Nothobranchius furzeri: one gene and its partners. The protein of the gene in region 1 interacts with the protein of each later gene in a biochemical or structural test. Links are inferred from orthologs where the notes say so. Each region holds a gene or a part of one and is shown in the gene's direction. Other genes may lie near its edges. The genes, in order: pparg, nr0b2a, histone acetyltransferase KAT5, histone deacetylase 4, ncoa6, ncoa4 and cdk5.

Region 1 (4,144 bases):
CAGTCACAGTTTTGATAACTTTAAAGTACTATTGATTATAAAACATTCTAATAAATAGCGTACTTACCCATTTTTAATGAATTTGAGTCACAAAACACGATGGCAAGTCTGATCACGTGTCACTTCCCGCTTCCTGTTCTCAAGTCCCGTGTGATGTTGTGACTATCGCGCGACTTTCCAAGAAGTGTCCTGTGTGACCACTTGACTTCTCAAAATCTCGGGCGGCTCATTGGTATTGGCGGAGATTTTTAGACAAATGCAAGAGAACCACTTTGTTTTATGTATATATTTTATGTATTGTACATGTACCTTTGTTATTATTTTTCTTCAAATTATTCTCTTAAGTGTTGGTGGTGCTGTAACAAGTGAATTTCTCCACTGTGGGATCAAAAAAAGTCTATTCTATACTAGTTGTTTATTTATTTATTTATCATTCTCCACAAAATATGTATTGCTATACTATGTTTAAATGTTGTTAAGGGGCATGGAAACATGTTTTAAGCTAATTTGTTTTCCAAACTTGCCTTTGCAGCTTTAACTTGACTAAATATGCTAATATGAGGAAGTAGCTGGCCATGGCTAAAAGTGTGGCTAGTTAGCCACAAACCACAATTTAAAATGTGTTCAGCTTCCTATGAGCTCCATGCAGCTTTGATGTGCTGATAGGTGAGATCAACTTTAAAAAATACATTCATTTTATTACACTTATAGGTTGTTTCTTGGTGCATGCTGAGCCATATTTGACTTAATAAACAACAAATGTTTCCTAAAACATTAGTTTATGATTAGCTAGAAGATTTTGCAGTTTTTCTGAAAAATTCCGAGTTGATGCCAGATTAAAGAATTCATTTTGTGTGATGCTATTTCACTCATTAGGTGCCTTATAAGATCCACTCTCATAAATAAAAACTTGTAACAGTACCTGTGTTTTCTGCGCATAATAAATCAGTTTAAATAGATCCGATTAAGTAAATCGGAGCTTTAGAAGGTAATTTGACGCCTTTTTATGTGTCCTTAAATCCCTGGAGGTTGAGCCGAGAGGAGGGAGGGGAGAGACGCACCAGGCAAGGCTCACACACGCACCGTAGCAGCAGCAGGAGCTGAGCGCTCCACAGCGAACGGACCCGGACCCAACCACACTGCTGCGGCTGTTCGGTGCCCAAGCCCCCGGTTCCAGGGGGGAGGCGAGCTAAACACGACCGAGAAAGTGCGGTCCAACACCGGAAACGCAGCCCGTGGACTCTCTCTGTCCTCTGCGGTTCAACACACTGATCAGGTCAGTCACCCCCTTCTGAGTTCACTATTTATTGTGCTTGGAGTTGTGGCTGCTAGGAGTAATAAAACACTGCAAACGTCATAAAAAGTAAAGTAATTCAGAAGACTGGGTTTAAGTGTCTGCATCAGTTTTTGTGTCATTTTAAAACAATAAGGATAACTTTTAACTTTTTGATTTCATACTAAAGTTTTACTTTTTTCAAACATGTCGACTTAAGGTGGACACTTCCTAGAGAGTGACAAGTAGCCAGTGGCGTAGATTGGGGGTGGCGATAGAGAGGGGGTGCGGCCACAGGGCTGACAACTGGCATGCACGTCAGGAGTTGGTCCAGAGTGTGTCTCTGGGCCACAGTGCGAGTGTGAGCTTGACATGCAAACACCAGGCAGAGATTTTCACCATCTAAGTGGTCACATCTTCTCAGGTAAGACCAGGTGATGCCTGCTGTTGGGTTCTAGTGTTTTAGAGTGTGTGTGTGTGTGTGTGTGTGGGGGGGGGGGGGGGGGGGGGGTCACATGTGCTGATTCACTGTAGATTCTTCTACAGTAACTGCTACATAAGAGTTGTGACTCAGCTATAATAATGTAGACTGACACAGTCACTCCTGTTTTTTCCACTTTGGGTTTTGATGAATTAATTTTGAACTCATGTGGGGAATAAATCTGATCTGTTGGTTTATCCTTTAATGGGACTGATAATGGTGAAAACAAGCTGCAAAATGGAAACGTGTTATAGATATCAGTCAAAACAGTAATTATGATCAGAATATTTAATAAATGCTTAGCATTACCAGATGTAAATCATCACCTTTTACTCCCTTTTGACATTTTGCTCACTAAATTTGTGCTCGGTGTCATTTGTATTTTCTGTATTATGTTTTTTTCTTGGAACGTTATTTTAGTGTTACTTTTTTAAATGTACTTGTTTTGTTCTTATTTTAGTCAGAGTTGTGATCTGGCGATACACAACAAAACAATCACTTAATGTAGGCAAATATTTAGCTTCAGCAACTTTGTTTAAAATTTAGACTAATATCTTTAAATCGAGTTTTCTGTACTTCTGATTATCAATAAACTGCTGCAGGTCAAACTCTGTCAAAATGTCTCTAAATCAATAAATAGCATTTTAAAGGTTAACAAATTATTATTGGGTTTAAGCAAAATTGTCCATCAAACATTCCAGATGCGATAGGACGAGTTTATCACTAAGCTGATCATAGTTTATTATGTCCTTTTTTAAATGAGACAAAGCATAATACATTTTTTATTGAGTGATTAATTATCAAGGCGTGTTTTTGTATTTATAAATGCACCTTCAGGTAAAAGCATAAATATTACTTTTATTACAGCAGCAGCTTGGTTTATTTTAAGTATTATTTATTTGAATGCAAGCATTTTCATCAGCTATTCATTTGGAAGAAATTGAGTGCAGTCCTGAAAGTTTTGCCTCGGATTCTGGTGTCATAAATCTCATGCAGCTTGAATCAGTAATACTAGCTCAGGTAAAAAAACATCCTGTAATCTTTACATAAATGACTTAAAGTCTAACAGCAGCTTCGATACAGGCGTTGATGCAACTGCATGCCCTAAATCACTCATTTATCAGGTTATATAATTCTTAGAGTAAGGTGCGTCCATGTGTTTGTTGGTGCATGTGTGTATGAATGACTGAGACAGATTCGGACTTTGTTCTGTTGTCGTAAACGAAAGGAGTGCTTCAAGATACGTTGCTATTTCTTTGTTGTTGATCACTCGCTTTGTGGATAACACACCTGCACATAAAGCTATTTTAATTGTGTGCTAAAGAGTTCAAGTTACTTCTTGTCACTTATTGTCATTTTTGAAGCTTTCTATTGATGTAAAAGAAAGAAATATCAACTTTTTCTGCCACAACCTTTTGGAAGGTACTTCAGTCACCTACAGTTTTAAGAGCGAAATGTAATCGCAAAAGGAAGGAAGACTGTCTAAACATCTGTTTTTGCATAAACATTCAGATAAAAGAGAATGACATGCTCTGGATGAACCCACAGATAATTAACCACTTTTGCTTCTGCACTGCCAAAATCCTGCTTTGTTCATTTTAATTTCATGCAGTGAATAAGTGTTTTAAAAGGCTTTTCTGATTAGGTTTCATCAGATAATGCTGGCGTTTGAAGTGGTTTAACCCTAAGGTTGTCAATTTATTTTTAAATTAGGTGTAATTATTAACTTCAGGGCTATCATTTCATCATTTTCTGTCTACGAACCGCAACATTTTGGCTGCAGATGCAAACTTTTATTGACACCAAACAAAACTTTGGACACTGGCAAGTTGTTTGCTAATAAAACTTTTCTGTACTTGTTAATCTTTTGTACTTTGACAGAGAGATGTGTGATTAATTAAGTACGCATTTTGCTTTGGGCTCCAAAAGAATCATTATTAAAATTATTTTGTCATGTTCCGCTTTGAAAGTATCCTTCTATTTAGTCATGCCTCTTTTCATGGCACATATTTCCACAGTTATGTGACGTACAGTGTGTGATGTGCAACATAAAATACTCAATTACTTTCAGTTATGACCCAGCACTCACTATGGCATTGCAACCATTATTTATTTTCCATACAGTTCTTTTTCCAAGTATGGACACTCCTGGAAAAAACACATTTTGATTGCACTGTCTCCGTTTGGACTTCCAGGCTCCCGTGGCAGCTATTCTCATCTCTCAGCTTTGCTCTCAGTTCATCATAGTTTCTCCATGCAACCGATCAGTCAAGAAGAAAATTAGATTTGATAAGTTAGTATCTACATAGATTTCACACTAATGACTGAATGTTAGGTTTTTTTAATTATATTTGATGATAAGCTCTATGATGAATTAATTTTGGTTTCAT
Region 2 (3,511 bases), on another chromosome or scaffold:
TTTAATAAGAAATCACAATCTAGCCATAGGAACACCACTTGGTGTGTGTGTGTGTGTGTGTGTGTGTGTGTGTGTGTGTGTGTGTGTGTGTGTGTGTGTGTGTGTGTGTGTGTGTGTGTGTGTGTGTGTGTGTGTGTGTGTGTGTGTGTGTGTGTGTGTTTGCGCTGACTTCCCAATCCCCACTGTCGCTACACACTTGCTTTTGAGGATTGCTGCAAAGACCTAGTCAGTGACTCGATGCCGTCTGCTGAGTTAGGAGCTATATAAATAATCTGAACTGAAGAAAAACATGTACATTATTGAGATTAGTTGTGAAATGGCCAACAACAAGAGAATGTAACATTTGTAAAAACAATAACACTATTTCTTTTTTGATCAAGATGCTTTTTTAGATAAGTTTGTCTCACAAACGGAACATCTGCAGTTAGAATGCCTCATTTCATTTCAAATGTGTTGACAGCAAAATAAACATGTTCAAAAACTTCTACGTAAATGCAGCTGTTACTCAGGAACTGGGCAAAAGCAAATGCAAACAAAGAAACTATAGAAGCAGACATTTGTAAAACGGGTTAATTACGTTCCAGATCACTAACAAACACTTCTGTGCATGTTTCAAATGAAAAACTGGTCTTACACACGACCCTTACGATCACACAAACAACCTTTTAATCTTCTGTGTAATAATCGTGTTAAAGATCGAAAAGGCAGAATTAAAACGCAAATCTTGATGGATATCCATTAACGGTGTGGAACACTGAAAAAAAGTTTTAATTATTATTTCTGATTATAATCGGTCTCCGAGTGTTTCGTTCATGCTGAACATGAAAATAGTCTCCTACACCTAGGATTTGAAAAGCCTGACAGATCTACGCCACGCTGTCACCTAACATTCATGGACTCACCCTCCTTGACTCGCGGCTGTTGTTGGCTTAGCATCCAGGAAACAGCAGAGAGGTAGTAGAAGCTAACGTTAGCACAAGCAACTCCACCACACAGCAGACCTCCTCCAGGCTCGTGTTATTTGTGGAGAGAAAACATCAACGTTGAAGAGCAAACAGAGTCAGTGGTAGAGTCGCGTTGCTGCTAGCCGGTCCGATTTTAAAGGTTAGTAGGTGAAGTGGTTATAAGGTTGAAGTATGCTTTGGGACTTCTGAGGATTAGATGCATTAAGTGTACATTTTACCGTTTGTTCCCACCCCAGAGTTACAGGTTAAGCTATCAATGCAACTTGCCCCTAGGGGGCTCGCTACAGCGATGAACTTGTTTTATATTCTTCCCGAAGTCATTTGGAATCATTTCAATAGTTCCTTTAGTCATCACACACTGTTGAAATTCATCTCCGCATTTGACCCATCCCCGTGGGGAGCGGAGAACTGCAGCTGTGGTCGGGAATTATTTGGTGGTTTTATGCTACTACTACTGTTTCCCTAAAATTGAAGCATAATTCCCACTGTTCCCGGTTTGGAAACGTTTGTCTAAACTAAACTACGTTTGATGAGAACACGATGTGAAGGTCAACGGCCTCCTTTGTGGTCTGGCCTCCTTCCAGCACTACAGGTGTGAGCTGGCGGGTGCAGTGACACAGCGTGGGGCTGATTACCTCTGCAGTCCTTGGTAGCTTGGTACTGCCTGGGTTGATGACACTGCCTTCCAGATAAGGCCAATCCCACTTGATATCCATGTGTGACTCCAGCAGCTACTTCTCAATGAGAAAAGCTTATCTGTTTCCCAGGGTTATTCCAGCAGTCACCTGGCAGAGCGCGCGGTTGTTTTTCACATTGGGTGTATTGACATTTCAAGGTCCACTAAGAAGGGAGGGTTGGCCTTATAAATAAGACTGGAGGAAGCAGCAGCTCTCAGAAGCTCAGACGGAGCCCGTCGTGGCAGAGAAGAGGTTCAGAGGAGCAGCCGCATCGAAGAAAGATGGATAACAGATGCCAGTGTTCCGCTAACAAACAAAGGCAGTTAAACCCGATCCTCTACAACATCTTGAGCCAGATGGACAGCGGTAGACCGACTCCAGACACCTCCAGCCACAGTTCCGTTCCTCACAGATGCAACTGTGAGACGCGGCGGAGAGTGTGCTTAAAAAGGCCGTCTGTGGTCTGCAAAGAGGCGTCTGCAGTTCTGGTGAAAACCGTCCACTTCATGAAGAACTTGCCAGCGTTTAACCAGCTGCCACCCAGTGACCAGTTTGCACTACTTAAAAGCAGCTGGGTGCCACTTTTTATTTTGGGTTTGGCCCAGGAGCGCGTGGACTTTGAGGTGGCGGACGTCCCTGCTGACAGCATGCTGAAGAAGATTCTCCTGAACTGCCAGGAGAGCCCTGAAACAGAGCGGGAGCAGCCAACCATGGCAGGCATCAGCAAACTCAAGTCGTGTCTCAAAAAGTTCTGGAGTCTAGATGTGAGCCCAAAGGAGTACGCTTACCTGAAAGGGACCACGATATTTAATCCAGGTATGTACTGCGTTAACTGGATTCAGACAACAGATAATCCAAGGACTCGTTTGTCAAGCAACAATTCTGGTTTTCTCTCAAACAGATGTACCAGATTTGAAGGCAGGCCTGTTTGTCGAAGGCTTGCAGCAGGAAGCTCAGCACGCCCTGAGCGAGGTGGTCCAGCTGCTTCACCCTGGCAACCAGGAGCGCTTTGCTCGGATCCTCCTCACAGCCTCCATGCTGCAGGGCATCACACCCAGCCTCATCACCGAACTCTTCTTCAGGCCTGTGATAGGCCAGGCCAACCTGCTGGAGCTGCTGGTCGACATGCTCTTCAGCCGATGGGAGGGGTGGTCCTCGGGATGGTGACCTCCATGCAGCGTGCTTTAGAGGCTTCTATAAAGCACACTAGGGTTTTGACTTTCGTCCGCTGAAGCTGAGGTCACTTCACCGTCTGAGCAGAACTCCTGAGAGGTTTTTGAGTTTTGATCCTACGTGTCGATGAGCTCCTCTGCTGTAAATAAGCATCTGCATTTCCAGAAAACTTGAATAAATATATTTTTGTACACGACTGAGTCCGATCCGTGGATCCATCCTCCATTACATGTTGTGCTCAGCAAACTTTTCAGAAAGTCAAGCGTAAGCCTGCGCGTTAAAGGAGAGAATCTAAAATTAGAATGAAAACACACATTTGTGGCTTCAAATGGAACAGAAAACCTTTTTTCTGCCTGTACTGCTGTGCTGTGTCTCCCTCTAGAGGACGTTTGGTGGAAGTTTTTTTTTCTCAGAAGACTAGCGGCAAATATTTTCTTACTTTTGCATTTCTCACAAAACCACAGCATCAAGATCCCCCCACCCCATCGTCACAAAAAGGGACAGAATGGCACGAACGCTAAACTCAGCGCAGTATAAAAAAACACTGTCTGCATGTAGTTATTTGAGAAATCAGGCTTAGTCATCCTACTTTGTGGTATGTTAGTTGTGAAACCCTGTCTTTACATGACAACTCGTACAGGTAAAACAGGAATGTGCTGGTGGGGGCGGTGAGCCGGTGGAAATGGGGTTACGCGT
Region 3 (3,929 bases), on another chromosome or scaffold:
TGAGGCACCAGCGTCTAAATCTACCAGAGATCTAACGAGATGACAACTTCAGGTGCAATTTTATTGTTAATTTTAACATTTTACTGGACACATGAATTTAATCAGATGCTTCTTAACAGCTCATTAAGGAGGGTAAACATGGGGGTTGTGTTCTCCAACATTTCAGTGATGTACTATTAAATTAGGAAGATTTTCTATTGCACATGTTTAGAAACTGATTAAAATCTGATCAAAATTTAAGTTTAGTTTGAATGGTTTGTCATACTTTTTTTTACAGCAGGAAACAATATGGATGTAAACTTGTGATATAGTAAAATCCATTTTGCTCCATAAGCATGTTACTTTGTAAAATTCCCTCTTTCCTAAAAGAAAACAAAACACATTATGAGTCGGCAAAGCTCTCAGCAATTACAGGAAAAACTAATAATCTCACCTCTATAATAATGTGATTAACTGCAGCATTTTTGCTCCCAACAATGGAAGACTGCTGCTCTCGTGTGGCAGATTGGTGCAAAAATACACTTGCTTCATAATGCAGTACAAACCTTTTTAACTTCACACACACACACACACACACACACACACACACACACACACACACACACACACACACACACACACACACACACACACACACACACACACAGGAAGTTGACTTACCATGTCACTTTAATTTACAAATTAACTAATTTGATCACGCAATCCAAATGTTGTTGTAATGGCTTGGGTCCGCCAGAGGGCGGAAAAATCTTTACTCTAGACAGGATCGAGTTCTCGTGTTCCGTGAAACTGACCTAAATAAAACATATAAATGCCTTATAGACTGAGTTGGTTTTCATCAATTAAATCAAACGACTAAATAAATTTTTTTTAAAGTTCACATAGATAAAAAAGTCAAATAGAACAGCATTTCTATTTTGTTACTGGTTTAGTTGTATATAGTTTTTATTGTAATTATTTGAGTGGTGTATACATTCTTTGTGAAATTCAAATACATAAATTCTCTTCCTGTTTAAAACATAATGTGTTATTACTATTAATAACTCAAGTAGTGAAGCCATTCTGTTTGCGTTGTTTGCCTCATTTAAGATAGCTCACTAACTTCCGGTGACAGGGCACAAACAACTATCTTGACGTATGTTTTCATCTTTGGCGTGGACCGGCATTTTCCCACAACACCCTGCTGCTGCACTCACAGATGACGAAAATGGTGGACAGCTCGTCTTCGGTAGGTTCTCCAGAGAAACTATGCTACTTTTTAGACATTGACCATTATTTGGTTGTAAAATAACGTTTCATCAACAACAGGTCGAAATTGTCGAAGGCTGTCGCCTACCGGTTCTTCGTAAAAACCAAGAACACGAGGACGAATGGCGTAAGTGTTGTCCGTTTGTTTCCCTGGTGCTAAGCTAATGCTAACTATCGAAGCTCAGCTGGCTGTTAGCAGACACCTCGTCTTCCAGGTAGACAAAAAAACTAAAGTGTTACTAAGATTGAGAAGGTGTGCTAATGTAGAACGCTTTTGAAGCCACTCTTTATTTTTGAGGCTTAACTGTTGAATCCTGTCTGCAGAAGCGTAATCAAATATCTTTATTAAATGTCAACAAACATTCATGTTAATCTTTATTGATTTAGAATATGAACGTTCATTTCTCGCGCAGGAATAAAAACCAACTTCAAATCGTAAGACAAAATGAAGACACTAATAATACAAATGAAATAATTAAGATTTAAAATTAAAATACCAAGTTCAACACACTAAACACTGTTATATCCAGTGTTGGGGAAAGTTACTTTTAAAAAGTAATTAGTAATAGTTACTAATTACTTTGTCAAAAAAGTAACTCACTTACTAACTGAGTTACGAGATTATAAAAGTAACTAATTACCAAGAAAAATAACTACTTATTTACTTTTTTCATTAAAGAATGCAAGAAAATGGGTTAATTGAACTTATTTACTATTAATTACTACAATAGTGAAATATAAATGACTAGTGACTGGAACATAATAAAACGTATGTCAAAATGTTTTTTGTAAACCTGAATAATTTAAATAAATAAGCACTTAACAGGAGGAACAGGAGCATTACACTTATCTAAACTATTAAAACGTCACTGTGTGATATTTAACAAGACCCCAATCAGCTAAAATTTAAAATTGCAAATAGAAACACCTGTAAAGGTTCCCGAGCCTTTAAATGGTCTCTCAGTCTAGTTAAATGACAGAAATGAATGTAAATTACAGTATTTTAACTTTTCCAACTTCACATAATTGTGTGTTATTAGTAGCATTTCTGTTGCTGGTAATCTAGTAATGGTTAAATAAATAAATAAAAATCCTTTAAAATGACAGTAGAAGAGGCACAAATCTGATGGAGGACTTACATTTACTAACGTGGGTCAGACCCAAACACAGAAGAGCTGAAGCTGGGTGGTTCTAATAACACCTGAGCTCCATGACGTTTGAGACTGATGCATCAGTGTTACAGCGGGACTAAAGACATGATCAGAAACAGGCTACAGCTGGATGATCTAGGAAGGTAGAAGATCAGGACGTCTGAGTGGTGAACAGGTGAGCGGACCTTCAGGACGTCCCGCTGTCACGTTAAAGGGCACGGCTGCAGACCCACACCTGCAGCCGTAGACTATTCATCACGTCTTCCTCGTTCTTCACGGGCCGTGATGCACTTGGATGAAAACATCTGCCTCTTTAGCTCCTGATCAGCTGATGACAGCTTCAACACACTGCGCTGCTTAACGCACACATTTCTTATACGTAACAGAAACGACATTTTGATAAAAGAAGATGGTAATTAATTAGGTTGCTCGTTACTGAAAGAAATATTTTTTTTAGTAACGCGGTTATTTTAACCGGCGTTATTCCCATCACTGCTCTGTTGAGTCTACAGCATGCAGTGACTGAGACAGTGAGGGTCTCCGCCCACCCGGCCAATCATCATCGGGTTTGTAAGTGCGTTACTGACACCTCTCTCTCCCTGGCTGCAGCTGAAGTGTGGCGGTCAGAAAGCCTCACACTGTTGCTCAACGTTCGACAAGCACATAGTAACGCACAACCTTCCATCCCCAGTAACGGTAACGGTGTTGCAACAGTGGGAAAAGTAATTAATTAGATTATTCCGTTACCCAAAAAAAGAACGCCGTTATTTTAAACGGCGTTATTCCCATCACTGTTATAGCTGCATAGAAATGCATGGAAGGGCTCTGATAAACTACAGTGTAATTAAACCTGTAGTTTAAACTAGAGGTCGACCGATATTGGTTTGATTGCCGATATGTAAAAGGTCAGCTGATGTCCGATTTGTGCAGCCGATATTTTTATGTCCGATATCTAAATATTTTCACCTTATTTTCATGCTAAAACGTCAGATAACATCAGTTGATGCACAAAATTTCTGAATCAGTTTTTTAACCAACTGTTAAATCCTAATTTTGAACACAGCTCAGTGTTAATATCAGACATTTAAATAAAAGGTAATCAAACAAATCCGTTAAGTGACGTGTCAATTATTTGATATTCAAAACTGGTAAATAAAAATAATTTTGAGTTGGAAATCATTTTTAAAGCAGTGATTAATTTGAAATACTATATTAAAATATTCTAATAAATAGCGTACTTACCCATTTTTAATAACTAGTGTCTCTCAAAACACGACGGCAAGTCTGATCTCGTAAAAACGAAAGTCATTTTCTGCTTCCTGTTCTCAAGTTCGGCCTGATGTGACTATCGCACGACTTTCCGAGAAGTGCTCAGCGGCGCATCATGTTTGACCACTTGACTTCTCAAAACCGCAATGCTTCTGCCGATTTATAAAGAACGCCAAATATTTGCCTTGTATATCGGTCTACCCCTAGTTTAAGCTGTTATTGGTTTAAAACCTAGTTTGACATCTGTAAAGAGCGCTTCAG
Region 4 (3,500 bases), on another chromosome or scaffold:
TCATCTAGAAGGTGATTAGTTTAACTTTACTGCTTTAAGTAAATAAACAATCATTCAACATGTAAAGAAATAAATACATAGCAGAGCCTTATGACCCAACGTGGTCGTAGCTAACCCAGACGGACCCGAACCGGGTTCTGATGCTCCTGATCCATCCAGGCTACAGGCCAAAAGCTCCTGTCCTCATTCTGGATCAACGTTTGTTGAGACAGAACCTTCTGAACTAATCTAACCTCATTCTGGACTCTTAAACCATAAAAACAGCAAGAAAAACAAAAGAGGAAGGTTTTTCTAAATAAAAGGCTCTAAAAAAGAAGAGACTGTTTGAAAAATCTGAAATTTGCAGGAAAGATGAGTCACACAGAGACTTTGAGATGACTAAAATATCACTGATGAGCAATAGGATAAAGGTAGGAACAAGTAAAGGTTTTTCAAAGTAAAAGTCAGAAAATTTTCTTTTTTAATGATGTTGTGTAAAAAAAACATGAATCAGGTATAAATAAAGAGCACATAACTAAAATGATTCTGATTAACAATAAAAATACATAATAAATGCAAGTTAGAACAAGCAACAGCAGCTAGAAAAACCCAAATAAATCATCCGTTTATGTAGACGAGTTTATTTTTTTATTTTTATTTTTTTTTCATTTAACATGTTTGTTTAGATCTGCTGCAACGGGAATAAAGATGGGAATTCTGGGAAAGTTGAGCAGGATCAGAGCGAGGGGGTGAATGCTCTGGCGTCATTGATGTCCCCTGGCACGATGCCAGCAGACCCAGAGGACTGTAGCTTTGGGAACGCACGCACACACACACACCTGTAGATGGAGCCCACTTGGGACCTGCTGCAAACTCTCCTCTTTCTTGCGAGTTTCTGCGTCATAAACACCCGCGTCCACCAATCAGTGGGGATGAATGAGCGCATGGGGTCGGGGCCCCTGGATGAGTCGCTGGCAGCATGCTGGAATGTCTGAGTGATGTCACACGTGGAGCGAGGCACTCACCCTGTTAGAGGCACGCCGGAGCCATCATGATGAAGCTCGTTAGAGGAGAACAGGAGTTTGGTTTGTGGGATCTGTCACATCCAGCTGGTTCTCATCCTTCTGCAGATGATCGGGAAGCCCAGCGAGTCACCCGTGGGTCGGCAGCACCAGAGCCACCCGGAGGAGACAGAGGAGGAGCTGAGGGAGCACCAGGACGGAGGAGTACTGCCGCTGGGGGTCACCATCAAGCAGGAGCCCCCAGACCCACAGGAGCTGCAGGAGGAGGTGCTGCAGCAGCACCTGGAGAGACAGGTAGAGCAGGAGCTGCTCTTCAGACAGGTAAGATGAGTTAAGCAGCTGAATGATGTGTTTACACTGCCACCTGCTGGTCACTCGCTGCACCCACACTTCCTCCTGCCCTGTTATCATCTTTACTTTTTAAATACTACTGTCAGAGAAGAGTGGATTTGTTCTGATCTGACCAAGGGTTCAGGTGGGTTTTACAGGTTAAGCCTTAAAAAAGGGTTCAGTCCTTCAAAATAAGAGTCTCTACATACACAAATACCTCAACTCATCTGAAGCTGATTAGAGCTGGTTTAGGGTGAAACTCAAAACTGCTTTTATAAGTATCCGATGTTTTCTCCACATTTTGACTTTGATAAAAGTAAAATAATCATTACGAACAGACATGAACTTTCTGTGGTTTTAAGGTGGCAGAAGGAGGTCATAACACACGGAAGGGTCTTTTAAATGTGATCTCTGGGCCGTGTTTCCCAACTGATGAATAATCCTGGTTTCCTCCTTTATTCTCCCCTCTGAGCAGCAGGCTCTCCTACTGGAGCAGCAGCGGATTCACCAGCTCAGAAACTATCAGGCATCGATGGAGGCGGCCGGTTTGTCCGTCTCCTTCCCAGGACACCGTCCCCTGTCCAGGGCCCAGTCGTCTCCAGCTTCAGCGTCCTCGTTTCCTCTCAGCGTCCCTACAGCTGATCCTCCCGTCAAATCGCGCTTCACCACAGGTTTGCATCGTCATCATGTCTCCCTTCTGTTTCTGAAGCATTAGGGACGGAAATGTTTAAAAACCGAACCTTCTTCTTCAGATCTCCTCTCTTAAGTCTCTTTAAGGAAGCTGTTGGTGTCGGTTTTACCTGCATTAACGCAGAAGAGAAGGAGATATTTGTAGTTGGGCCGTTTTACCCCCAGAGCTGCCCGGATCAGAACCACAGACATTTGTTTGTTCTGAGGTTAGAACTCAGGTTGTGGTGAAACTGGGCCGTCTGCTTTCCCACCCAGGTCTGGTGTACGACTCCCTGATGCAGAAGCACCAGTGCATGTGTGGGAACACCAACAGCCACCCGGAGCACGCCGGGCGGATCCAGAGCATCTGGTCTCGGCTGCAGGAGACCGGGCTCAGAGCGCAGTGTGAGGTAGGAGCCGTGGGTGCTGACGGTCTTGCTCTGAGGCCAGATGTGTGAAAGCTGTTGTGTTTGTGTGTTTAGTGCATCCGGGGGAGGAAGGCCACTCTGGAGGAGCTGCAGACTGTCCACTCTGAGGCCCACGTGCTGCTGTATGGAACCAACCCGCTCCGACAGAAACTTGATTGTAAGCCTGGAGCTCAGAGTGAAAACACTTTGCCGCTGATCTCCTCTAACGGACGTTACATCTGATCTGCAGGTTCGGTAACACCCATGTTTGTACGGCTCCCGTGTGGAGGAGTGGGGGTGAGTGACGGCATGAAAGATCCGACGGTTTTATTGTCTAAATGTATTTAACCACTGCAGCAGTTAAACATCTGGGTGTTTCAGGTGGACAGTGACACCATTTGGAATGAGGTCCACTCGTCCAGCGCCGCTCGCCTCGCCGTCGGCTCGGTGGTGGAGCTGGTTTTCAAAGTGGCCACTGGAGAGCTGAAGGTAAAATAATACTCTCATTCTATTCAAAAATGATACTTCAGCCATTTTGATTTGGGTTCCTGTTGGAGGAAAATCACTTAGGGAGGTTTTCTGACCTACGAGCCAAAGCTGTAGTAACTTAGTAACTGATGAGTGGGTTACTAACTGATCAGTAACTGAGTAACGGATGAGTGAGTAACTGAGAAACTAATGAGTAACAGAAATGAGTGTGTAACTGTGTAACTAATGAGTAACAGAAATGAGTAACTGATAAGTAACATCATTGTTAAAGTTTACCAAATGAAACTCAAACTTCTCTGAAGTTTCGTAGACTGGAGCTTCATAAAGATGACACCTGTGCTCAGACTAGCCGTTAGCTCATCAATCCTTTAGCATGTAAATACTGTGTCTTCAAACTGAGGCTATTCAGGAAGCTATCTACATGGTAAATGGCCTTTTTTTTGATACAGCACCTTCTAGAGTCCTGGAACCCCCAAGGTGTGTTACAACACAATCAGTAATTCACACATTCACACACTGGTGGTGATGAGCTACATTGTAGCCACAGCTGCTCTGGGGCGCACTGACAGAGGCGAAGCTGCCAAGCACAGGCGCCACCGGTCCC
Region 5 (4,040 bases), on another chromosome or scaffold:
ATACTAGTGAAAGAAGAAAAGGTGGAATAAAAATGATCAAACTACTACAGTCATCAAAATCTCACAGCAAACTGCCATTTAAATAAAAATCCACTTAGCTTTCTGTGAGTTCACCTCACATCTGTTTGCTCGAGTCACACGGTACAAGGTTTTCAAAGTAAAAGCCCACCCAGCAGTGGCACTAAAGTTAGCTGCAAATGAAATAATGTAATTGCTGAACTTATGAGAGGAATGTTTGAGAGTATTTTCTCTATCACTGTTTAGTCAGAATTTCAGAGGTAAATTATTGAGCAATAAATGAAATCATAAACCAATAATGTAAAATGTACAAAAAAATGCATAGTGTGCAGTACATGCATTAACAGTCAACTTATTTTTTAATGTTTTTTGTCAATTATTCCAAATATTACCAAGGATGTTGCTAGATGACAAGTGAAGAGACTTGCTTTGTCTTTGTCTAACTGTCCTTCCCTTGCTTGTAGTGTGGCATGTAACTGTGATTATGTTGTCTTGCACAGCTGCTGGAGTTTTACCTTCTTTTTGAGAACATGTTAGGTGATAACATACCCAGACAGAGATGTTTAACAGGAATGTGATTTCCACATCTTGGTTTACTACTTTTACTGAGATGGTTTTATTGATTTTAAAGTATTTCTTATATTGTTACTGTTCTTTTTGCATTCTTAATATAGTTTTAGTGGTTTATTTGCTGCTTTTCTTGAAAATCATTAGAATTATTTGAGAGAGGGTCACCCTTGTTCTCTGAATGGGAATTAAAACAGTTTAATGTAAAATCAATTTTTACATCACTGTTTGACTGTAGATGTTTTTATTCCTAAAATCTATATTCAGCCTGGAACTCTTCGGGATGGGTGTCATGTGTTTTTGGTGCAATTAAGCGGAATAATAGAAGTAAAATCGAACACGTTTTTCTCTCACACTAAATTGATCAAATAGGTTTCTAATCTTAGAGTCTTGTCTTGTGTACTGTTAATGCACACATTTGCACACCTGATGTTTGATTATTTTGTGTTTATAATTGAAGGAAAAATCGGTTTTGTTCAAATTTGTGAAATAAAAATGTTTGCACATACCCACATAAGCAGTGTTCCGCAATTTGTCATCATACTTGCATTTAATACAATTTGAAAAATAGATAAAACAGCTCAGTTTATTCAGGACTATTTAGGAAATAGTCATGAACTTGTTAACCTAAGGAGTGCGTTTACCTTTTGAGCTTTTATTTTGAAAAAGAAAACCGGAAACAACCTTTGTTAGTTAGCTTGCTTATGACATTCATCCTATTTTGTTAGCCTGTCTAGCAAACAGATGTCGACTAGTTGAACGTATTCGTATATGGATATGTTTGGTAAGGTCTTTGTATATTCCTTTCTCCTTGTTTTTATTAACGAAAACTGTTGAAAGGCAAATTAAACCAGCTACGGTTCGCTGCTTGGATTCATTCGCGTCTGGAGACTGACATCTAGCTACATAGCTAACTGATGCTAACAGGATTTTTCGGAAAACCAATAGGAACCACTTTCAATTTCACTCTTTCTGTGTGCTGCTAAAACGTATACATTTGAAATGTAAGTGTTAATTGCACCACGATGAAAATGCACAATTTGGTAAGAAACAGAGTTTACTTGTGGATTTTGTTTGAATGTTAGCTTACTGCGTTAAGGCCCACACTCCTGCAGCGCCGGTGACTGAAACCAGGATGATCATCATTATAAAAATATATTATATTATTACTAACAAGTTTAACTCCCATATCAAGAAATCTCACAACTCTGAAAGTAATGTGACTACCAATCAGAGCACCTCTGCTTAATAAGCTAATCACCGGTCAGTGATGTCACCTCCAGGTGTCTGCTTCATTGAGTTACAAACTCATTTATTTGCTTCTTTTTCTGGTTTGCAAATAGAAATTATGACTTTTTTTGCTTGTCTTTGTTTTACTCGAATCGAATGTTATATAGAATACTCTTCAGCCTCTAGCAACTTACTATAACTGTTGTTTCTTGGCTGTGTTCAGGGTTTCTAAAACAATTAAAGAGCAAGTCACCCCCTACAAGAAACTTATTTCACTCCCTCTTCATGTTTGAAAAATGCAACAAATGCTGTTGCCTAGCAGACCGAGAGGGCGGAGCCACTAACAAATACACACACACACACACACAGGCTCACAACGGCACTGTGACATCATAATGTACCAGTTTACATCATAGCATACCTCTTAGCCAATAGCGGTGGCAGATTTAAATTCAAATGCAGTGCAGAGTTTTTACCTGACAACGGCGCAACATTGACAGTTTTAGGCAGAATATTTCAATTTTAACTAAGATGCACTGAAGTACCAAATTATTGACTACACGTGTCTGCAGCACATTTAGACACACATTTATATAGTTTATCAGCAAAAAAAAAAGTAGATTTGGGGGTGACTTGCTCTTTAAGAACTGTCGAAGGTCTCAATATATTAATGGGAAATTAAAAATATTCTAAGATGAGCTGTTATGTTCCCAAAACTTTCCATTTTAAATGCATTCTACGAAATTGTAGAAAATTGGGAACCCATAGCGTAAGCAGCTTTTTACTTTAAGCTGAAACAGTTTATAGAAAAAGCATAATTTATCAAATAATTATTAAATTAATCAATACCATAGACTTTTCTGGGCAGTACATACATTTGAGATAGGCAAAGTATGGAATAATAGTATTTGATAAGAAAATGCTGTAATCTAAAGTTTGAATAATCTGTAATTACAGCATAAAACGGTTTAGACACCACTCCTAACAAGGAAGGGAGGATAGCTGCTGAACATTCCTCATCCCAGAAGACTGCGTACATGGAGCCTGATGGTGAATCGGACAGAGACTCTGGTGTTGGAGAAGATTCTGGAGAAGACGCAGATAGCTCTGAGAAATGCAACGTAACAGAAGAAGTTGGACCCATGGAGCAAGAAGACACTAGAGAAAATGGAGAGGAGGACTTCACAGTCTTTGTTGCCTTTCAAGGAAACATGGATGATGAGAACTTCACTCAAAAACTAGAAACTATCCTCAATGGGATACCTGATGTTCTTAATTTGGGTTTGTGTTTATTTTTATTCAATTTGTTTTGTTACTTTGTTTTATTTGAGCTCATTTACGTGTATTTGATTCAAAAATATATATCTTGCACTGACCTGTTAAGCATTTTCCAACCAACACTAACTAAATACACTTTATTTTAGGCCCAGAACGGCTGCAGCCTAAACATGTTGAGCCGTGGAACAGTGTCCGTGTCACATTCAACATTCCCCGGGATGCTGCTGAGCGACTCCGGTTGTTGGCCCAAAACAACCAGCAGCAGCTCAGAGACCTGGGTATTCTCTCTGTGCAAATAGAAGGTAATAGCTCAGTCCAAAAAGAATTCATGCAGATCTCCTCCTTTTGTCTTCATAAAAATTCATTTATGCAATGATTTAATCTTGGTGTTCAGGAGAGGGAGCAATTAATGTGGCTGTGGGACCAAACAGAGGACAAGAAGTCAGAGTGAATGGACCAATTGGTGCACCTGGTCAGATGAGAATGGATGGTGGCTTTCCAGGTCAGCCTGGCCCAGGTAAGTTTTTCCAAAAGTTTAACAAAAAAATTAACAGTACTCTAGTCTACTAGTAGAGATTTTGGCTTTACTGTCCAAACGTGATCACACATGAATGCTGTCGAAAGCAGCAGCAGCTTCAGCGCAGAGCAAGTTGATGAGAAGACGAAGACATAATTTATACTGGCCTGGTTTAGGTTTAAGGAGTCTGATGCTGAGCAGAAAAACATCCTCTGTAAAATATTCTGGGCGACAGTGAAGTCATATCAACGCTTGTTAACGCTAACGCTAATTCCCTTATATGCCATTAGCTTCTAACATATTATTAACACGCAGGTTTCCAAACTTTCATCACAGTAAGCTTGTATTTTATTTTAAAATTTCTTCATCTTTATTTGGTTCATGTGAATTTTTGTGTTGCATTGTTTCTAACAATGTTTAACATAAATAT
Region 6 (3,965 bases), on another chromosome or scaffold:
TCGCGGACCTCGCAGTAAAAACAGGTTCACTCTGTGTGGATATTTCAGCTCCTTCCCAGTCATGGACCAGGACAAACTTGGTATCGATGGGTTCGTGGTAATCACAGGAATGAGAAGCTGCCACTGTTTTTCATATAGCATGATGACACTGGTGTTAGAGGATTGTTATTGACTTGGTTAGATATTTTAAGCCTATTTTAAATTTCTTTATATTTGATCTTGAAAACGGACAATCTTATAATTTAGCTGATAATGCAGGGATTATAAAATTTGGAGTACATTACATTCACAGAGAGAACCTGGTTTATTTCATGTCATATGTATTTAATATATCAATCAGTATTCGCAAAGCTTAACATCATGAACCATGACAGACATGACTGAAGAGCAGATGAAGATATCATGCCAGGCACTGATGAGAAAATATTACAAGGATCTCACAGCTGAATATGAGAATGAGATGCTACACCTGAGAACAATATATGGTGCCACATTCCCACACATTCGGTCTCCCCTTGAGCTGCTTAATGCCATACAGGATGCAATTACAGAGCATTTTTGGAGAAGTTTGTATTAAACTGAGGATTTTTTGCACACTACCTGTGACTGTTGCTGGGGGTGAACGGGCTTTTAGCAAAGTGAAACTGGTGAAAAATTATTTGAGATCAACAATGTCCCAGGATAGACTGAACAGCCTAGCTCTTCTTTCTATTGAAAGCCAATTAGTCAAAGGATTGGACTTTAAAGATCTCATAAGTGATTTTGCTAACATGAAGACCCGTCAGTGGGCATTTACTGGAAAATAAATTCCAGGATTTTTGTTTGAACACATTGTTGGCAAATAAAAAATAATTATATGTGAAGTCTGGGCATTTCATTTTTATTATGCTGGCATTTGTATTTGCTAATATAGAGGTTAAACTAGGATCATATTTATTATTTTTATAGCATGACAAAAATGTGTAAGAGATATTACGTAATTGAGCATGGGGGCCCACCTAGAAGACTTGTACCTAGGGCCCAGAATTTGGTGCTACGCCCCTGGACGTGTGTATGAGCTTTAGTTAAAGGGAGCACTGAGTGTTTTTCTTTATATTATTGTCTCTTGTGTCGGTTCCCTACAGTGGCTTTGTGCTTTTAAATAATTGTGTGTAGTCCCAGGGCCAGCATTGTCATCGCTCCTCCCTCTCGTGGTTTAGAGTTTTAGCCTATTTTTATCACCGACCTGGGTTGTCTTTAATAAATCTCCTGTTCTGTATCTTCTGAATAAAATTGTTAAACTTGTGAATAAGCCTCTGCTGTTTTCATCAAGGGTTATTATTACCTACGGTTTTAGGATCTAAGCATCCAACCCTCCAGGTCACGCATATCTATGTGGGCGACTCTTCATGTTGACCAGCCATGTGCTGTTCGTCGCCTGGCTCCGCTCAATCCAAAAATTTCCTTCAGTTATCGCGAGACTTCATCTTCATAGCGATTTTTTTTCTTTCCGTGACGTGAACGTCGGTAGCTGTCCGAGGAGACATTGGTTCTCCGCGAACATTCTTCCATCTGTGGTGTCAGAGAATCGATCCGAGTCGCCTATGTCATCGAAGTCGAGGCTTAACAGCAAAGCCACACGGTAATCCGGAAACGGCTAACTCGGAGTTAGCTGGGTTTCCTTCTTGTCTGTTCATAAATATGTAACTGGGTAAAAATGGCGATGATCGGGTCTGGTACTTTCTGTTGTGTTTTCTGGCGGTGGCCGTGGTGTCGCGTTAGTCCCCGTGCTTCAGTCGGGTTGTCCTGGTTCTATGTGGCGTTCTGCTCCTTTGGCCAGGGAGCCCAGCGTGTGTCATGTCTCACATTCACCGGAACCCCAGTAGGGGCCCCAGAGGCCTGTCTTACCGTACAAATGCTAAACTTGGCTAAAGCCAAGAGCTGGTAGCGTCGAGGAGTCCCTGCTGGACCCACAGACACATGTGCAGACATAAATGTCTGTGACTGGACCTGTCTGCTGCTCGTCACGTGGGTTAAAGGTATGGAGTGATTGAAGGGGGTGACCGGGTTCGTGTGTGTGTACGTGCGGCCTTGTAGACGGTCATGGAGGACAGTCATCGCGAGAACACATGAATCTGACACCGCGTTTGCAGCGGATCCGGTTTAGAGCTCAAGCTGCATGAAGCACTTAAGAAGATTTAGTCTGGTTCGGCTCCTTTGGGCCCGGCTGGGCCTGTGGTGGGTCACCTCCTGGTAAACCATCAGGTGGTTCCGGTGGTTGTTCGGGTCAGAGAGGGAACATCGAGTCCTGCTGACGGCTACAGATAAGCTCGCTGTAATTGCTGACTGGTCCTTCTGCGCTAGTCCAAGTTGACATGGGTCGGGTCAGAGTATCAGGACTATTGATGTGACAGTTCCAGCAGCTGTGTGTGTGTGTGTGTGTGTGTGTGTGTGTGTGTGTGTGTGTGTGTGTGTGTGTGTGTGTGTGTGTGTGTGTGTGTGTGTGTGTGTGTGTGTGTGTGTGTGTGTGTGTGTGTGTGTGTGTGTGTGTGTGTGTGTGTGTGTGTGTGTGTGTGTGTGTGTGTGTGTGTGTGTGTGTGTGTGTGTGTGTGTGTGTGTGTGTGTGTGTGTGTGTGTGTGTGTGTGTGTGTGTGTGTGTGTGTGTGTGTGTGTGTGTGTGTGTGTGTGTGTGTGTGTGTGTGTGTGTGTGTGTGTGTGTGTGTGTGTGTGTGTGTGTGTGTGTGTGTGTGTGTGTGTGTGTGTGTGTGTGTGTGTGTGTTATCGGGATCAGAGGAAGAGGTCTTGCTGGTTTGTGCTTCATGTTGAGCAGATGAATCTGGACTACAGGAGCCTCTGAGGGTCAGCTTGAGAGCCCGTTTTTGGAGTGTGACTGGGTCAACATGAAGGTCCTAGACTGGCCTAAACTCTGGATGCTCTGTTATCAAAGCTGACATCAGCTGACTGTTCACAGCTGATATGGCTTTTGCTCAGGCCACGCCCACTTCCCCACAGCTGATAGCTGCTGCTCAGGCCACGCCCACTTCCCCACAGCTGAAAGGAGCTGCTGAAGCCACTTCCGCCTCCACCCTTGTTGTTTTTCAGACAGAAGTCAGTCCTGTGGGTTTCAGCTCATTAACGGGCTTCTGCACAACTTTGGACCTGCTGAGCTAATCTGGACCTGGCTGTGCTGGACACCAGACTGTCTAGGTGTGTACAGTTGCGTGTGGTTTACCGGTAAGACTGGTTTAATCCAGTAGATGGTGGGGAGCCACTGAGCACAATGCAGCAGCGTGCACAAACAGCTGAGTCAGCTGGTGATGCTGAGGTGAGTCGTGCCCTTTGTTTAGGTCGACAGAGTTTGGACCCATCCTGGCTGCTGTTTGACCTGGAGGACAAAGCTTCAGGTGTGCTCATGTTCAGGCTGAAGAGGCTGGCCTGGCTCTGTTAGAGGGGTTAAATGAGTCAGAACATGCTGATGCGTGCTGTCATCACCAGCAGAATAGACTACTGTAATACCCTGCTTTCTGGTTTTCCCAGAAGAAACAACTCAGGTTTACGACTTCTGTTGAGGACCAGGAGGTGGGAGCACATCGCACCAGTCATTGGCTCCCCGTATGTTTCAGGAATGATTTTAAGGTTCTCTTAATGGTGTTTAAGAGTCTTTATGGCCTTTGGCCCTCTTATCTGTCAGACCTGCTTTTACCATATGAACCCTTGTGGCCTCTGGCAGCCACCTCCTGGTTATGCCTAAAGTCAGGACACGCACTCACGGCGAGGCAGCCTTTCAGTTTTATGACCCTCACCTCTGGATCAGGCTGCTGGAGAACCTCAGGGCCGTAGAGAACGTCCATGTTTGTACGAGCGGGCTAAAGACCCACCGTTTTAGCTTAGCTTTTAACTGGTTATTTATTCTGGTAGATTACACCGTATTATTTAATTACATTTTAGAACTGTTAATTCTACATCTGTATTTTAATGTTTATGAC
Region 7 (3,672 bases), on another chromosome or scaffold:
AGTGTGAGCAGTCAGATCGCATGCGAGAACTGGGTCGTACAGTGTGAGCACACGACTCGTGAGATCTGCTCTGCGAGGAAGTCGTACAGTTTGAGCTGAAGCTGAACGCTGCGAGTGAAAAAGTCGCACAGTGTACCCCCGGCTTTACATGTTACAAAATGAAAATTACATTCTACAACGTCATAGTTACAAAACATATTACAAGTTACAAAACTAAGTACAAGTTTAATGTAATATTGTCCCAGTCCTAGTTCCATAGTTTTTTATATGTTGGGACCGGGACTTCTTTACTCATTATTTATCCTATTTCTTCAAACCTTTTAGCAAAACTTCTAAAGAATTCTTCTGCAGCTTGAAGTTAAACACCAAAAGTTACTTCTGTCAGTTTTAAACAAACTCGGTAGTATAAACAAGCACAGCTGTTTCAGGAGAAATCTTGCACCTTCTGTGAAGCTTTTTGTTTTTCTACAGGGTGTTCCTTTACCTCAGTGACACGTTCAGTTCATTCATGTACAAAATGCTGTTTCAGTAACAGGTGGCCACATCATTAACATCAGCATCGCTGTGAGAACTTTTGATCCTTTGTTGCTGAAAACCAGCCAGCCCACACACTGTTCTGTTAATGCATCATAATTTGGACTTCTACTGCACTTCAGGTGACAGTGTTTTCCAAAACTTGGAGGAATAAATGTAAAATAGCCGGCAATGCAGCAATTTGGTCAAATGCACCAACGCTTGAGTTAAAATGGAGGTGGGTGTAGGTTAACGGTGCTGCGGGAACTTCAAGTTGGATTCACCTCAAAAAGCACCAAAACACTGGGCTGTTGTAATGCTGCTAACGTCTCTGCAGGTGGTGACGTTGTGGTATCGACCTCCAGATGTCTTATTTGGCGCTAAACTTTATTCTACCTCCATCGACATGTGGTCAGCCGGGTGCATATTTGCAGGTTTGTTATTTTTTTCCACTTGTGAATGTGAAAGGTAAAGTTTTTATAAGTCATTATTTGTGTGTAAATGGTTAAATATTCATATTTTATCTACTTTAGTAATTTGATTACTATTAGCTAATAATTACAACTGCAGTTTTATCTCATGCAATTCTTTTACTTTGTACAAAATAAAATCCAGATGTATAAGAATGCATGGGAAGTTCAGGTGCAGTAAGCACAGTGGCTTTTTAGCTGATGAGGAGAATTTATTTAGCCAAATATGTATTTTAAGTTTCAGCTCAATTACTCTCAACAGTAGCTGAAGGATTATTTATGCCTGCTTAAGTGAAATCAGTGACACCGTTGATGCTTTAAATTATGCTAACTTATGCTTCCTCACGTCCTCTTGTGAATCAGAAATCATTTCCTCCTCCTCCATCACTCAGGAAAGGGAAATCTCCTCTTGTAATCACCCCAAGGGGATGAGAGGATTCTGAAGAGTAGTTATTCAAAGTTGTGACCTTCCTCACACCTGTCCCTCGTGCCTTCTCTCAAAGTAATTGTTGGGAATATTTTAGATATTAGATATCTTCCCACACAGGAGACTACAACTGTTTCCTCGGTAGAAATGGAGCAGTCCTGATGGTGGTTGTCACTGGTCCTGCTTCTGCTGTGTGTGCGCATTCAGTTTCACTTTTGTTTTTGTCCGTGCCCGTGCTATTGTCTTGATTTTTAATAGGTAGCCGCCACCTGGTGGCGTTAACCACGGTTAATAGTCAAACTGGTTAATCCTGCCACAGCCTCCAATGTAGACCGCACCAATGTTCACTCTTTGTCCAGTTCATGCTTTCTTTGCTTTGCCTCTCTTTTTACTTCCAGGCACCACCATGATGCAAACAAAAAACTCTTCTTTTTACACTTTTTTTTAACTAATGATCAACAAACTAAAAAGAGCTACCTGGTAGCCTTTTTATTAGCTACCAGCATAGTAAACACCCCAACTGTTGCTGCACCTCTCACTTGTCCTTTCCTGAACCACAAAGTTGCTTGGTGCAGTTTCTGGCCAGAAGAGAGCTGCAGAGTGCTGTCACATGTGAAGCTGCTCAACTTCGGGTTCAAGAACCACTGAAACCAGCTTGAAAGCATTACCTTAAACTGTTAAACTCTTTAGTGTTTCTTTAAAGAGCAAGTCACCCTCCCACCAGAGTCTCACTCCACCTACACTTCCTGTTTGAAACCAAAAGGAGGTGTCGCCTGGTGGACCAAGAGAGCGGTGCTGAGGCATTGATTAGGGAACACTTGTTCAAGTGTTGCATTTAAAAAAATCCGATGTTTTGTTGTTTTGCTCTAGAGCTGGCTAATGCTGGACGGCCATTATTCCCTGGCAATGACGTGGACGACCAGCTGAAAAGAATCTTCAGATATCCTTTGCCAGTAAATCTGTCCATCTGTTACCAAGAGTAGACTTCTGTTTTTATTATTATTCCTGTAAACATTTAGTCTTTAACCACTGCCTACATTGTTGGGAACACCCACCGAGGAACAGTGGCCGACTATGACGAAGCTTCCTGATTACAAGGTAAATTTAGTGGCTGATTTTCTCTTGACAGCAGCCTTGGACGTTGGTTCCAACACAAGATTTTTGGACCTTTTTTCCAATAAAGACACTGCTACTCTTGTATTCTTCCACCAGCCATATCCCATGTATCCAGCCACCACATCACTGGTGAACGTGGTTCCCAAGCTAAGCAGCACAGGACGAGATCTACTGCAGGTACTTCAACATTTCTATTTATAAAAAAATAATTCAATGCATGACTGTTGTCAGCTTTTATGCTTTGCACAGATTGTTGCTCATTAAAACCTTTCCCTTGATCTGATCCAGAACCTGTTGAAATGTAATCCTGTCCAGAGGATTTCAGCGGAAGAGGCCTTGCAGCACCCTTACTTTGCTGATTTCTGCCCACCCTAAACACTAAATTGCTCCTTACTGAGGATCAGAGACACAGGAACCAATAATCCATCACTCGTTTTATCATTAGAACCACCTCTCAAACCCCTCACTGGTACTTGAGCAGTTCGTTCTTTTGTGCCTGTGTGTGAAACAAAGCCCCGGTGGCTCTGCTGTGTTTTAGGGCCTTCTAAGTTAAATGCCTGTGTAATTTGGTCCAAACACACCTCAGCCAGTTAGCACCAACATGAGCAGATGTTGCATTGAATAAATTTTTTTTTATATATTCCTAGAATTGTTTATTTCCTGCTATTTTGCCTGTTTTAATAGTGTTTTATTATCAGAATTTTAATTTATTAAGTTTTAACTGGGATTTGTCCTAATCGATACTCATTTAACTTGTTTAATTATCTCAGATGCTTGAGAATCAAAGTGCTTGTATATAACGCATCAATTACTCACTCAGCCTTTGTAAAAGAGTCAGTAGTATCCCTAAGGAAGTAGCTTAAACCGACTGAATCTGCAGAGATGTGTACAGACATTTTAATCCCCTTAACAAATATTTATACTAGCAGGAATGGGAAAATGTGAAAGTAAATGAGCTCAGACAGCGACTGAAATCCTGTGACTCTGGACAAATAATGTAAAGATGGCAGTAGATGTGAAGTCTTTTATGAGATTTTTTGCACACACTGATTTTATTATTATTGTACCCACTTGGGTACTTGACACAGACCAAACAGACAGCTCAGTTCTGCATTAACGTGTCCGGACAGTCCCCAAATCACGTCA

What was found.
Region 2: the proteins of pparg (region 1) and nr0b2a form a complex in vitro, tested with the Homo sapiens proteins (2 studies listed by BioGRID, with this or other methods). The link is inferred for Nothobranchius furzeri from reciprocal best matches to the Homo sapiens genes PPARG and NR0B2.
Region 3: the proteins of pparg (region 1) and histone acetyltransferase KAT5 form a complex in vitro, tested with the Homo sapiens proteins (2 studies listed by BioGRID, with this or other methods). The link is inferred for Nothobranchius furzeri from reciprocal best matches to the Homo sapiens genes PPARG and KAT5.
Region 4: the proteins of pparg (region 1) and histone deacetylase 4 form a complex in vitro, tested with the Homo sapiens proteins (2 studies listed by BioGRID). The link is inferred for Nothobranchius furzeri from reciprocal best matches to the Homo sapiens genes PPARG and HDAC4.
Region 5: the proteins of pparg (region 1) and ncoa6 interact in a test that uses a peptide from one of them, tested with the Homo sapiens proteins (2 studies listed by BioGRID). The link is inferred for Nothobranchius furzeri from reciprocal best matches to the Homo sapiens genes PPARG and NCOA6.
Region 6: the proteins of pparg (region 1) and ncoa4 form a complex in vitro, tested with the Homo sapiens proteins (2 studies listed by BioGRID, with this or other methods). The link is inferred for Nothobranchius furzeri from reciprocal best matches to the Homo sapiens genes PPARG and NCOA4.
Region 7: of the proteins of pparg (region 1) and cdk5, one has a biochemical effect on the other in vitro, tested with the Homo sapiens proteins (3 studies listed by BioGRID, with this or other methods). The link is inferred for Nothobranchius furzeri from reciprocal best matches to the Homo sapiens genes PPARG and CDK5.

The regions. Positions count from the first base shown.
Region 1 is NC_091743.1:63,419,765-63,423,908, forward strand, and holds the start of pparg (peroxisome proliferator-activated receptor gamma), read left to right. Parts: upstream 1-1,344; 5' UTR 1,345-1,645; coding exon 1,646-1,697; intron 1,698-4,144. UniProt on the Homo sapiens protein: Nuclear receptor that binds peroxisome proliferators such as hypolipidemic drugs and fatty acids.
Region 2 is NC_091745.1:40,694,226-40,697,736, forward strand, and holds nr0b2a (nuclear receptor subfamily 0 group B member 2a), read left to right. Parts: upstream 1-1,484; 5' UTR 1,485-1,923; coding exon 1,924-2,458; intron 2,459-2,543; coding exon 2,544-2,809; 3' UTR 2,810-3,011; downstream 3,012-3,511. UniProt on the Homo sapiens protein: Transcriptional regulator that acts as a negative regulator of receptor-dependent signaling pathways. Specifically inhibits transactivation of the nuclear receptor with which it interacts.
Region 3 is NC_091750.1:47,314,777-47,318,705, reverse strand, and holds the start of histone acetyltransferase KAT5, read left to right. Parts: upstream 1-1,129; 5' UTR 1,130-1,198; coding exon 1,199-1,228; intron 1,229-1,308; coding exon 1,309-1,375; intron 1,376-3,929. UniProt on the Homo sapiens protein: Catalytic subunit of the NuA4 histone acetyltransferase complex, a multiprotein complex involved in transcriptional activation of select genes principally by acetylation of nucleosomal histones H2A and H4.
Region 4 is NC_091754.1:47,188,773-47,192,272, reverse strand, and holds part of histone deacetylase 4, read left to right. Parts: intron 1-1,109; coding exon 1,110-1,322; intron 1,323-1,806; coding exon 1,807-2,002; intron 2,003-2,276; coding exon 2,277-2,410; intron 2,411-2,482; coding exon 2,483-2,585; intron 2,586-2,657; coding exon 2,658-2,704; intron 2,705-2,788; coding exon 2,789-2,896; intron 2,897-3,500. UniProt on the Homo sapiens protein: Responsible for the deacetylation of lysine residues on the N-terminal part of the core histones (H2A, H2B, H3 and H4).
Region 5 is NC_091755.1:60,747,824-60,751,863, forward strand, and holds the start of ncoa6 (nuclear receptor coactivator 6), read left to right. Parts: upstream 1-1,240; 5' UTR 1,241-1,369; intron 1,370-2,772; 5' UTR 2,773-2,852; coding exon 2,853-3,096; intron 3,097-3,239; coding exon 3,240-3,395; intron 3,396-3,487; coding exon 3,488-3,610; intron 3,611-4,040. UniProt on the Homo sapiens protein: Nuclear receptor coactivator that directly binds nuclear receptors and stimulates the transcriptional activities in a hormone-dependent fashion. Coactivates expression in an agonist- and AF2-dependent manner.
Region 6 is NC_091752.1:62,469,924-62,473,888, forward strand, and holds the start of ncoa4 (nuclear receptor coactivator 4), read left to right. Parts: upstream 1-1,165; 5' UTR 1,166-1,388; coding exon 1,389-1,621; intron 1,622-3,010; exon of another isoform or gene 3,011-3,186; intron 3,187-3,965. UniProt on the Homo sapiens protein: Cargo receptor for the autophagic turnover of the iron-binding ferritin complex, playing a central role in iron homeostasis. Acts as an adapter for delivery of ferritin to lysosomes and autophagic degradation of ferritin, a process named ferritinophagy.
Region 7 is NC_091751.1:49,909,088-49,912,759, forward strand, and holds the end of cdk5 (cyclin-dependent kinase 5), read left to right. Parts: intron 1-850; coding exon 851-947; intron 948-2,280; coding exon 2,281-2,350; intron 2,351-2,447; coding exon 2,448-2,508; intron 2,509-2,622; coding exon 2,623-2,703; intron 2,704-2,814; coding exon 2,815-2,901; 3' UTR 2,902-3,172; downstream 3,173-3,672. UniProt on the Homo sapiens protein: Proline-directed serine/threonine-protein kinase essential for neuronal cell cycle arrest and differentiation and may be involved in apoptotic cell death in neuronal diseases by triggering abortive cell cycle re-entry. Interacts with D1 and D3-type G1 cyclins.